Linked DNA regions of Saccharomyces cerevisiae S288C. The main gene of each other region encodes a partner of the protein of the gene in region 3 in a complex. Each region holds a gene or a part of one and is shown on either strand. Other genes may lie near its edges. The genes, in order: RPC19, RPB8, RPA12 and RPA14.

What was found.
Region 1: RPA12 (region 3) and RPC19 share a complex: the UniProt entries of both Saccharomyces cerevisiae proteins name them as parts of the RNA polymerase I (Pol I) complex.
Region 2: RPA12 (region 3) and RPB8 share a complex: the UniProt entries of both Saccharomyces cerevisiae proteins name them as parts of the RNA polymerase I (Pol I) complex.
Region 4: RPA12 (region 3) and RPA14 share a complex: the UniProt entries of both Saccharomyces cerevisiae proteins name them as parts of the RNA polymerase I (Pol I) complex.

Annotation. Positions count from the first base shown.
Region 1 is NC_001146.8:410,705-413,703, forward strand, and holds RPC19 (DNA-directed RNA polymerase core subunit RPC19), read left to right. Parts: upstream 1-2,066; coding exon 2,067-2,495; downstream 2,496-2,999. Other genes in the region: YNL115C (uncharacterized protein), read right to left, coding at 1-1,349; DEAD-box ATP-dependent RNA helicase DBP2, read left to right, coding at 2,935-2,999. UniProt on the Saccharomyces cerevisiae protein: DNA-dependent RNA polymerases catalyze the transcription of DNA into RNA using the four ribonucleoside triphosphates as substrates.
Region 2 is NC_001147.6:760,243-762,792, reverse strand, and holds RPB8 (DNA-directed RNA polymerase core subunit RPB8), read left to right. Parts: upstream 1-1,527; coding exon 1,528-1,968; downstream 1,969-2,550. Other genes in the region: putative iron-binding protein ISU2, read left to right, coding at 709-1,179; DSC3 (Dsc3p), read right to left, coding at 2,133-2,550. UniProt on the Saccharomyces cerevisiae protein: DNA-dependent RNA polymerases catalyze the transcription. of DNA into RNA using the four ribonucleoside triphosphates as substrates.
Region 3 is NC_001142.9:553,480-556,150, forward strand, and holds RPA12 (DNA-directed RNA polymerase I core subunit RPA12), read left to right. Parts: upstream 1-1,715; coding exon 1,716-2,093; downstream 2,094-2,671. Other genes in the region: NTA1 (amidase), read right to left, coding at 1-1,370; chaperonin-containing T-complex subunit CCT5, read left to right, coding at 2,435-2,671. UniProt on the Saccharomyces cerevisiae protein: DNA-dependent RNA polymerases catalyze the transcription of DNA into RNA using the four ribonucleoside triphosphates as substrates. Component of RNA polymerase I (Pol I) which synthesizes ribosomal RNA precursors.
Region 4 is NC_001136.10:767,911-770,438, reverse strand, and holds RPA14 (DNA-directed RNA polymerase I subunit RPA14), read right to left. Parts: upstream 915-2,528; coding exon 501-914; downstream 1-500. Other genes in the region: HOM2 (aspartate-semialdehyde dehydrogenase), read right to left, coding at 1-82; YDR157W (uncharacterized protein), read right to left, coding at 107-508; peptidylprolyl isomerase CPR1, read left to right, coding at 1,439-1,927; ENT5 (Ent5p), read left to right, coding at 2,468-2,528. UniProt on the Saccharomyces cerevisiae protein: DNA-dependent RNA polymerases catalyze the transcription of DNA into RNA using the four ribonucleoside triphosphates as substrates. Component of RNA polymerase I (Pol I) which synthesizes ribosomal RNA precursors.

The DNA.
Region 1 (2,999 bases), on a different chromosome or scaffold from region 3:
TCAACAAGCATCATGCTATCCACAATATCGACATTCTTGGCGGTAAATACTCTTGTAAATAGCCCGCCAAGGTCGTATCCTACTGTAGTGAAGGGACCTTTAATTTTTGCATCTTTGATCAATGCGTACCTTAAAGATTCCGCAACCATCGCAATAGAGATTGGGGCGGGAGGAGAATCGCTCAACCCGTACCCTGGTCTATCGTATAGACAATATCTTTGAATTTTGTCTAAATGATATAGTTCCTCAATCCAGGTGGCAGAAAGGTAACCAGTATCATAACCTCCGTGTTCAAACAAGATGATAGGTTGCTTCTTATTTTCAGACAAATCTGTGTTGTTTTCTTGATCAAATACGTCACCATAACAAGTTATATGCAACTGATAGGTTTTAGCGGCATCTACGTAATGGAACGCCTCGTACGAGGGCGACTGAACGGTTATTGGTAATTTGTGAGTCAATCTGTAGGTATCCAATGTCGTTAAAAGTGTATTCAGGGTGAATAAAGCGAAGAATATTAAAATTAAAAACTTAATAGTATTCCTGAACCCAATGGATACCCATTCTGTCAATGTATGTTTGTTTTGGACCAGCTGCGAGCGGTGGGTGGGGGTTGGCGACCCAGAGCCATATTGGCTTCTGTCCCTGTTTTCGGTACTATTTGTATGGTTTTCGTTGAAAGTACTAATATTAGCATCATCAATTCTGCGTTCCTCCAATGGCTCATTTATTGAGTTGTTGTAAAACAAGAGATACCAATCTAATATTGCCCCAATAAAAAATGAAAACGAAGTCCACAAATATGTAAACGTGCCCACAAAGCCGATTCTTTGCCTAGTGTATTTAATTAGATAGGTCAATGCTAGATTGAACAACGTCAAAACACAGAGAGTTACATTTAAGCTGTAATCTAAAGCTGAGTACAGTCCCAGCTTATTAAACCAGAGATTGAAAGAATTAGCTATGATCGAGATGAATATTAAAGTCAAGTCGTTAAAACTTGCGTACCTGTTACTGAATCCGAAAAGAATATTGATATTGAAAAAGAAATCTGAAATCAAAGTGGTGACTAGCCAGATGGTGTTAATTAGAATTAGGATATTTAATATCCATTTGGAGTTATGAATAAAGATTCTATAACCTTTGCGAATTTGAAAGAGACTATCTTTGATGAACCCATCGGATTCAATGTCACGACCTTCATTAACTGCTGGGCCATTCGCGGATCCTGCACCAAGGGTCCGGTGGTTGTTGTTCAGCAACGGTTGCGCTTCTGGGTGTTCACTATCTATATCTGTTCTTTCCATTCCCGTCCTTGCCGGATCATTATCTAAACCATTAGCCTTCATGATCTGTTCGCTCTGATGCCTACAGTTCTTTCTTCAATGGCTTTCCTTTCCTTTCCTCCTTATAGAATATAGCAAGGCATCTAACTTTTAGTTTTTCTCTCATCCCTTTAAACTGCACGATGGTTAAAATTAGGGGTCCGAATAGCCTTGCAAGGAATAGATTAAAGAACACTATATATGCATAGCCACTTCAAAACGTGCTGAGAACATGCCATCAAGGTTGACCAATACGATTGCTGATTCGACAACTTCTACATTACATAGGCATATACATATCAGAAAAACGTGCTTTATAGGTACATTTTTTAATTCCTTAAACATAACTTGCTTCTATTTTGGGATAGTTCCTTTTCTTTGAACTACGTTTTTTGGGCAGAAATATAAAAAAAAACCGAAAAAAACGGCACGCAAGAAAGCTTATTCAAAAAGACGCAACAATATCATAGATTATTCTAAGTACCAACAACGTGATAAACTTTGTTCTAATAAAGCTACATCTTATCTCTTCTGTACAGCTTTATTGGGGTGAATCATATTTACTTCAATCCGGGTAATGGTAAACGTAACAAGTGATAGAAATATTCACCTGCGATGAGCTGGAAAAAAAAAAAATTTCAAAAGAAAACCATACTAATGCTGAGGTATAAAGTAACGAATTGGGGAAAGGCCATCAATCCAAAGTCGGAAAAATTGAACTTCACATAAAGTACCAGGCAAATGACTGAAGACATCGAACAAAAAAAGACCGCTACAGAGGTAACACCACAAGAACCAAAGCACATCCAAGAAGAAGAAGAACAGGATGTTGATATGACTGGCGATGAAGAACAGGAAGAGGAACCAGACAGGGAAAAAATTAAGCTTCTCACACAGGCAACATCTGAAGATGGAACTAGTGCCTCTTTTCAAATTGTAGAGGAGGATCACACGCTTGGAAATGCCCTTCGTTACGTTATAATGAAAAATCCAGACGTAGAATTTTGTGGTTACTCGATACCTCATCCTTCTGAAAACCTATTAAATATCAGAATTCAAACCTACGGTGAAACGACCGCGGTGGATGCTCTTCAAAAAGGGCTAAAGGACTTGATGGATTTATGTGACGTTGTAGAATCTAAGTTTACTGAAAAAATCAAGAGCATGTAGATGTTACGGATCGACTCAAAGACCCTCTGTCACTCTGAAATTTCTAATAATTATGCACACCACGCTAGTATAGATACAGCTTGATTTGTGTATCCCGTTTATAGTCGTGCTATTTAAAATCTATGTATAATATAACCAGATAAAAATACACCTTCGTACAAGGTGCTAATAATGTTGAGAATTCGAAATTCCTTTTTAAAGGCGTATTCCGTATTGAATGATTGAAAAATTTATTTCTTTTTTTATTTCTTTTTTTTTTTTTTTTTTTTTTTTTTACGCCGATGCTCATCGCAGAAAATTTTTCCTTCAGTTTATTTGTCTTATAAAAAGACTGTCCTACGCTCAAATAACTTATACTTTTCTGTATCTCATTCAAATTATTTTCTTGTCAACAACCTGTAACAGAATTAAGCACTATTAAGGCAAATTTAGAGCAAATATGACTTACGGTGGTAGAGATCAGCAATATAACAAGACTAACTACAAGTCTAGAGGTGGCGACTT
Region 2 (2,550 bases), on a different chromosome or scaffold from region 3:
ACATATACAATGGCCAAAGAGAATGAAGAAAAAAGGAAGGGACTCAGTCAAATATTAGACGACAGTATCACTGAAGGAAGGGAACTGGTGCGAGGAGGAAAGGAGAAAATACGTAATGCAAGTGGTAATAAAACGGGAACAGGCTAGTTCTCGAGAAATGTGGCAACTGCAACCAAATGGAAGAGTCAAATGTAAGTTATAGAGGGTTCGCTTTCCACCTTAACCCATCGAACTGTCAATCATGTCGCTTCTTTAACCTGCCCCTTAACGTTACTAAGCAAAAACAAAAGGCAGACAAACTCAAGAAATAATTAAGCATAACCCGGAAAAGGAAACGCCAAACCACTATGGAATTATTCTTATTTCATTACAGGGTCCGCACCTTCCCAGTCTAGAAAGGCATGGTATGGAATTATGACTGCAACTTTATAGTGGTCAGATGTTTATATATGTACACCCATAATACAGATACACAGCATACTGCATATATCCGAGTCACCATGATTCTATTGTTTCAGAGTCCGGTTCAGGCCCAACGTTTTTTGGCGCCCTCGTTTTTTCCCTATGCGGAACCTACTATTAATAAGCACCTGGGGCCGGCCGGTGCAGCAGTATAGCAGTATATAACAACAGCAAAAGAAGCATATGTAGACAACGCTGAGGTTTCATTACAGCTCATACATCACCAACAAACATAGCACAGCATAGATGTTCGCCAGACTCGCTAATCCTGCCCACTTCAAGCCTCTCACGGGCTCCCACATAACAAGAGCTGCCAAAAGACTTTACCATCCTAAGGTAATTGACCACTACACAAACCCAAGAAACGTTGGGTCCATGGATAAGTCCTTAGCTAATGTCGGCACAGGAATCGTGGGCGCCCCTGCGTGTGGTGATGTGATAAAACTACAAATACAGGTGAATGATAAATCGGGTATTATCGAGAACGTTAAGTTCAAGACCTTCGGGTGTGGGTCTGCCATCGCTTCCTCCTCCTACATGACCGAGCTGGTACGCGGTATGTCACTTGATGAGGCCGTTAAAATTAAAAACACGGAAATCGCGAAGGAGCTAAGTCTTCCTCCAGTAAAACTGCATTGTTCCATGCTTGCAGAAGACGCTATCAAGGCGGCAATCAAGGACTACAAAACAAAGAGGAACCCCTCCGTTTTGCATTGAAAGAGAGGCGATACGATAATATGATAAAATACAAGAGGTCCTCTCTTTCCGGTTTTTTTTTTCTGGTTGTTTTATAGAAAGGGTTAAAAGAATAATTAGGTATAATAATAAGTAATTAATATCAGAAACAGTCATAATACTAGTGACATTATGTATCAAATTTTGACTTAGTTTTTTCATGTTCGTCAGACGTGATAGGTTTTCTCCAGGTCTTATTTTCATCTTTCATTTTCACATTTTTTTTTTTCTAAAGCGAAAACTAAGATGAAAAATTTCAGAATATTTAAACTGTGATGGCAGCTATAAAAGCCCAGTTGCCAGCTCATTGCTTCCATAACAACCGCAGCAATGTCTAACACTCTATTTGATGATATATTCCAAGTCTCGGAAGTTGATCCCGGTCGTTATAACAAAGTCTGCCGTATCGAAGCCGCATCTACCACTCAGGACCAATGCAAACTAACCTTGGATATAAATGTTGAATTGTTTCCCGTCGCCGCACAAGATTCTTTGACAGTGACTATTGCATCCTCTTTAAACCTCGAAGACACCCCAGCTAACGACTCTTCTGCGACAAGAAGCTGGAGACCTCCACAGGCTGGTGACAGATCCCTTGCAGATGATTATGATTACGTCATGTATGGTACCGCTTACAAGTTTGAGGAAGTAAGCAAGGATCTAATTGCCGTTTACTACTCATTCGGTGGCCTCTTAATGAGATTAGAAGGTAACTATAGAAATTTGAATAACTTGAAGCAAGAGAACGCTTATCTTTTGATTCGTCGTTAGCAGCATTGGACCGAGTGCTAAAAAAAAGGGCGATCACTTACTGCTACTAGTAATATAAATAATACTTTATAAAAGTGTAAGAATGCCATGTAAAATACTAAAAATTGAAAAAAAAAAAATAATATCATTATTGTACATGAAAACGACATCTAATCGCCTCACTACTAAAAACCTCTCACAAGACAAAACATAACATTAACAATCACACCGGCAAAAATCGCCATTTTTTGCCGTCTGTTGAACAATCCATCAAACTTCATTAATAGTATACCAAAGACGCCGAAGAAGAATCCGACACATATACCTAAAAGCAAGTCTTTGTTGTGCTTTATGTTAGCGATCGGCACAGAGTTAAACCTGTCTTCATTGCCGCCTCCGGCCCCATTCCCCTGAGCGGTCCCACTCCCGCTTTCCATCCACTGTTCCTCCAACTGTCTAATGTCATGGCCCTCATCATCTCTGTTGCCATTTTGAGCAAGTCTCTCCTCCTCCTCCTCCAAATCTCCATACGTGGCCCGAAACTGTTGCCTCAGCAGTTCGATTTCTTGCTCAGTAAATCCCACGGATCGTAGCCTATCAAAC
Region 3 (2,671 bases):
CTAAACACTTCAAATTGGACCTCACGCAATATAGCGCCTTCTAGACCCTTGCCCAAATTACCCAGCAACTCTACGCTTTCATTGAGAGAATCAAGCGAACTCTCATCATCATCCTGTGAACCTTTAGGTTTTTTACCGTTAAATTTATAAATGCCAGAACTTCCTGCAAAAATCGTGGTACCATCTTCAGTACCACATCTGTTAGCTAGCACCAAAATCGCATTCTTTCCTTGGAACTTCCAAGGCTGTCCAAGGGAGGTTCCCAAAAATGTCTTTTCCAGTACTGTATCCTTTATCACTTCCTCAGAATCCAATAAGTCTATTGTGTCCTCCTTGTGCTTTCCATCTTTATAATATTCATGATCTAGGGGCATTCTAGTTTTGCCCAAAATGCTTTCGATAAGAGATGAATTTTTAAACCAATTAATTCTGGATTTAAAGTACAAAAAAGGAAAAAATCGTAGAATCCAGTAGTTTACGTTTGACATATCTGGTTCATCCATATCCTTATATTCACTTGTACTGTCGTCAGAAGGCACTCTGGGCGTACGTTGCGAATCACCAATTTTAAGCTGGTAAATTCCTTGAGATCCTGCCAAAGGCAACCCTTGCTCCTTTAAAGCGAAAGCTATTTTGTTCTTAGCGGCTTCTAATAATGAATTGTTATGTAACGTCTGTTTGTCTGTGATAGAAGTAGAGTTTAACCACGCCATTGGACATAGAATCAATTCAACATTATTGTCAACGCAAAAAGAAGAGAATTCAAAGTGATTAAAGGGGGCCATGAATTTGTAGGGACTTAAGTCCATACAAATACCTATTGATGCTTTCAAAGTCACATCTCTGTTGTAAGAGTCCTCATTAGAAAGCTTAGCACACTTTGAAAAATCCATGGGAAACGTCTGAAATCCCTCTGGATTCTCCTCGCAATCCCAATTCATTTCTGTATCATAGAGAAAAGTCTTTCTGTAATTAAAGATCTGCTCCCCCTGCGGATTTACTACCAGGGCAGAATTGTATAGCTTCTGTTCATCATCATCTTCAGGATATCCTATTATAGTGTAGCATTGAAATTTCTCGGATATTGATTTAGCCAGTTCAAAAGAGGGCCCTTCATCTTTCTTAGTAACATAAGGTAAAATATCTTTTCTGGCATGAAAACTGTAACCTGTCAATGCAAATTCGGGGAATAGTATTATGTCTGGTTTCACATAGGTGGCACTTTTCGTAACTTTATCCAATATTGACCATGTTCTCTTAATTGTTTGATCTACTTGCCCAATTTGCGGATTGAGTTGAATTACTAGTACCTTTAGTGATACTAAAAGTTTTGTGCTCATCTTAGCACCATGAATTGCGTCTATTAGCATTCACTGAATGTCACGATAGAGTTATCGCTGTAAACTAGCACTTTTTAGCATTGAAATGCTTAAAATGTGTGAAACTAAAGTGGTTTTATTTCCAAAGAAGGGTTATCCCTTACTAGGGCAACGAATGAATATCTATTAGGGCTATAAAACAAAAATAGTTAAGTGAGATATATACCCTCTTGAATGGTGCAGGGTAAATAATTATATATCGTTACGAACGAAAGATGAAAAATATGAAAAAAAAAAAAATCAAATTTATGTCAAGTGAAGGGCATTGCATGGCAAGTGTAAAGAATCCAAGAAGAAAAGAAAGGCTTAAAGCAATCCAGGTTAGTACTTATAAGAATGTCTGTTGTAGGATCGTTAATTTTTTGCTTGGACTGTGGTGATCTCCTGGAAAATCCTAATGCCGTATTAGGCTCTAACGTTGAATGCAGCCAATGTAAAGCCATATATCCCAAGTCACAATTCTCCAATTTAAAAGTCGTCACCACGACGGCAGACGATGCGTTTCCATCTTCTCTTAGAGCCAAGAAATCCGTGGTTAAAACTTCTTTGAAGAAGAACGAACTGAAAGACGGCGCTACTATCAAGGAAAAGTGTCCTCAGTGTGGAAATGAAGAGATGAACTATCATACTTTACAGTTAAGATCTGCAGATGAAGGTGCTACTGTCTTCTATACATGCACTTCCTGTGGTTACAAGTTCCGTACCAACAATTGATTGGGTTGTGTTCGCACATATTACAATTTGTACATTAATATCATCCCCGCTTTCATCATGTGAACATCTATAGAACATCATTTATAAAAACAAAAAATCTATGTACTGACGATATAATAGCGTACATTATCATATTATTCTTACTATTTATCATACTCATCGCATCTACTGTTCTCGAGAACGTGTAAAGTGATTTATGCCATTGAATGAAAAATTTTGTTAAGGAACAACTAGAAATATAATAGTGTCTTGGTGGATGTGGCAAATGAGGTGTGCGTGATAAAGAGCTACAAACTCAAAGTAATAACAGCTATCATCCATTTTTATAGCAATATTTGAAAATGGCTGCTCGTCCACAACAACCTCCTATGGAAATGCCGGATCTGTCGAACGCCATTGTGGCACAAGACGAGATGGGTAGACCCTTTATTATCGTGAAGGATCAAGGTAACAAGAAGAGACAGCACGGATTAGAGGCCAAGAAATCACATATATTGGCTGCTAGATCAGTAGCTTCTATTATCAAAACTTCGTTGGGTCCCCGTGGGTTAGATAAGATCTTGATTTCACCTGACGGT
Region 4 (2,528 bases), on a different chromosome or scaffold from region 3:
GGTGATTTGCCAACAACAGAATGAAACGTTGACCAACGGAACCAGTAGCACCCAAAACACCAGCAATTTTCTTTCCAGCCATTTTAGAACGCTTTATTTCTACAATTTAATTTGTATGTGTACTTAAGTGAAAACAAGAAAAACAAGATTTAATTTTATACTCGAAAGTGAATGAACAAATAAATATGGTTCTTTTATTTATTTTTTCTGCTTTTCTATTTTTCTCTAACATTTTGAACTGGTAGTAGTCAGAGGAAAATGAGTCAATCAATGCTTGACAACATGATTTGGAAAAAAAAAAAGTGTGAAAAAAAAGAAAACCGGGTACTTTGAGGCCGCTGCCGGTGATATTTGGATCTGGAAAGAAAGAGAAAAAAAAGCACTGAAGACGTTCAGATGTCAGAATTCTAACTGATATGCATATATTGTAGTATACAGAAGGCGTATGTGAATGGATATGTAGGATTTTGTGTAAAAGGGCAAGGCTGCTGCTACAGGTCTCACTCATCGGCGAATGTAGTTTTCTTGCCGCCGGTGGCACTAACACCTATGCTTGTCTCCTTCTTCTCCGTCGTGGAGACCTGAATGGGCGCGGCGGAAAAGTCTTGGGCGGGTGGCAGACCCTTGAAGTCTCTCTGAATCCTCTTTAATTGCGATATGGAGCTGGAAAGGTTGGTGTCGATGTTGAGGCTGGTGTTAGCCACAGCGGCAGCGTCCGCGTCAGCGGCGTTGCCGCTGATGGTATTCATGGTAGTACTATCAATAATGTTCTCCTTCTCATCGATAAAGCTCTCCAGAAATTGAAGAACCTCGTCAGTAGAGACATGTTGGGGCAGCTGCGTGGCATGAATGACCACAGGCGTGTTTAGCGTGGTAGCAGTGTTATTACCTGTTCTTCTAGAACCTTTCATCATCTTGTATTATCGAAATCTTACCTCAGACGTCTCCAGTTCTGCTCTGCCTTACCGATGAGACCTCTATAATCAATGTGATTTAAACATATGCATCATCTTGAAGTAAGCTCGAAATGAAAAATTTTACACCCGCAATATGCTTACCCGTCGCTGTTAGATGTTACCCGCCTTTCGCCCCTTAGGGGTTTCCACCGCCCCCCTCGTCCTCTACGGTATTTTCTGGGGCGCCCAGCCCGCCACGTCCCGCCTCGTCTCGAATTTCTTCCTCTGCTAGACGGGCTTCCACGCGCTTCCACTCATTTCTGTCTCTGGTAATGGCCGTGGCCCTTCTCACTTTGGTTGGGCTTACGCTGACAAGTGTCTGTTCGATTCCCTGTATAAATATAAACGTATTCTCTTGAGCCTTCTATCCTTTTGCCACTGTCGTCATCATTTGTTCCTCCTTTTTCGCTAGATAGGTTATATTAAGATTTGTCTTGAATTTAATATCTCAACTCAATCCAAACTCAACCGCTAATACTACCATGTCCCAAGTCTATTTTGATGTCGAAGCTGATGGCCAACCAATTGGCCGTGTCGTTTTCAAGTTGTACAACGACATAGTCCCAAAGACTGCAGAAAACTTCAGAGCTCTATGTACCGGTGAAAAGGGATTCGGCTACGCTGGCTCTCCATTCCACAGAGTTATTCCAGACTTCATGTTGCAAGGTGGTGACTTCACTGCTGGTAACGGTACCGGCGGTAAGTCTATCTACGGTGGCAAATTCCCAGATGAAAACTTCAAGAAGCACCACGACAGACCAGGTTTGTTGTCCATGGCCAACGCCGGTCCAAACACCAACGGTTCTCAATTCTTCATCACCACCGTTCCATGCCCATGGTTGGACGGTAAGCATGTTGTCTTTGGTGAAGTTGTTGACGGTTACGACATCGTTAAGAAGGTTGAGTCCTTGGGTTCTCCTTCCGGTGCCACCAAGGCTAGAATTGTTGTTGCCAAGTCCGGTGAATTATAACCGCTCTGCCTGGAACAATACAGCAAAAATTGAAACGAACTATTCTCTCTTAAATTATATGTATATGTATAAGGTATGTGTATGTATGACAATCAATTCTTATAACTAACTCTTCCTACCTATATCGGAGTATGTTGCCAGGCTTGCCAACTAGCCAACTACCGCCTAGGTTATGCCTGTTAAGTTGACGCCGCCGGGTACCGCCCCCTGTTTTTCCCACGTTTCTTTCTTTCCTCTAGGTAACGGATTTTCGGCTTATTTTCCACAGCGAGAAAATTTTCTTTCTCCTGCACTTTTTTTCATATTCAGGTCCTTTGATCCATTCATTCATTCTTGTTTTAATTTCAATCTAGATTTTAGTTTTCGGTTGAATTTATCTTTAGTTTTTTATCAATAAGAATTGGTCTAGCTTATCTTTCCAGGCTGCTTATAGTTTACTTTTTTTAAAAAATTATATTTCTATCCAATATACAAATCGGAAGGGAAATTCATATACACAAATTAAACGTTCCAATTGCATAAATACCAACACCATACAAAATGGACTCATTATCAAAAAAGATTCAAAATTTAGGTATCCATGATATTAGAAATGCCGCAA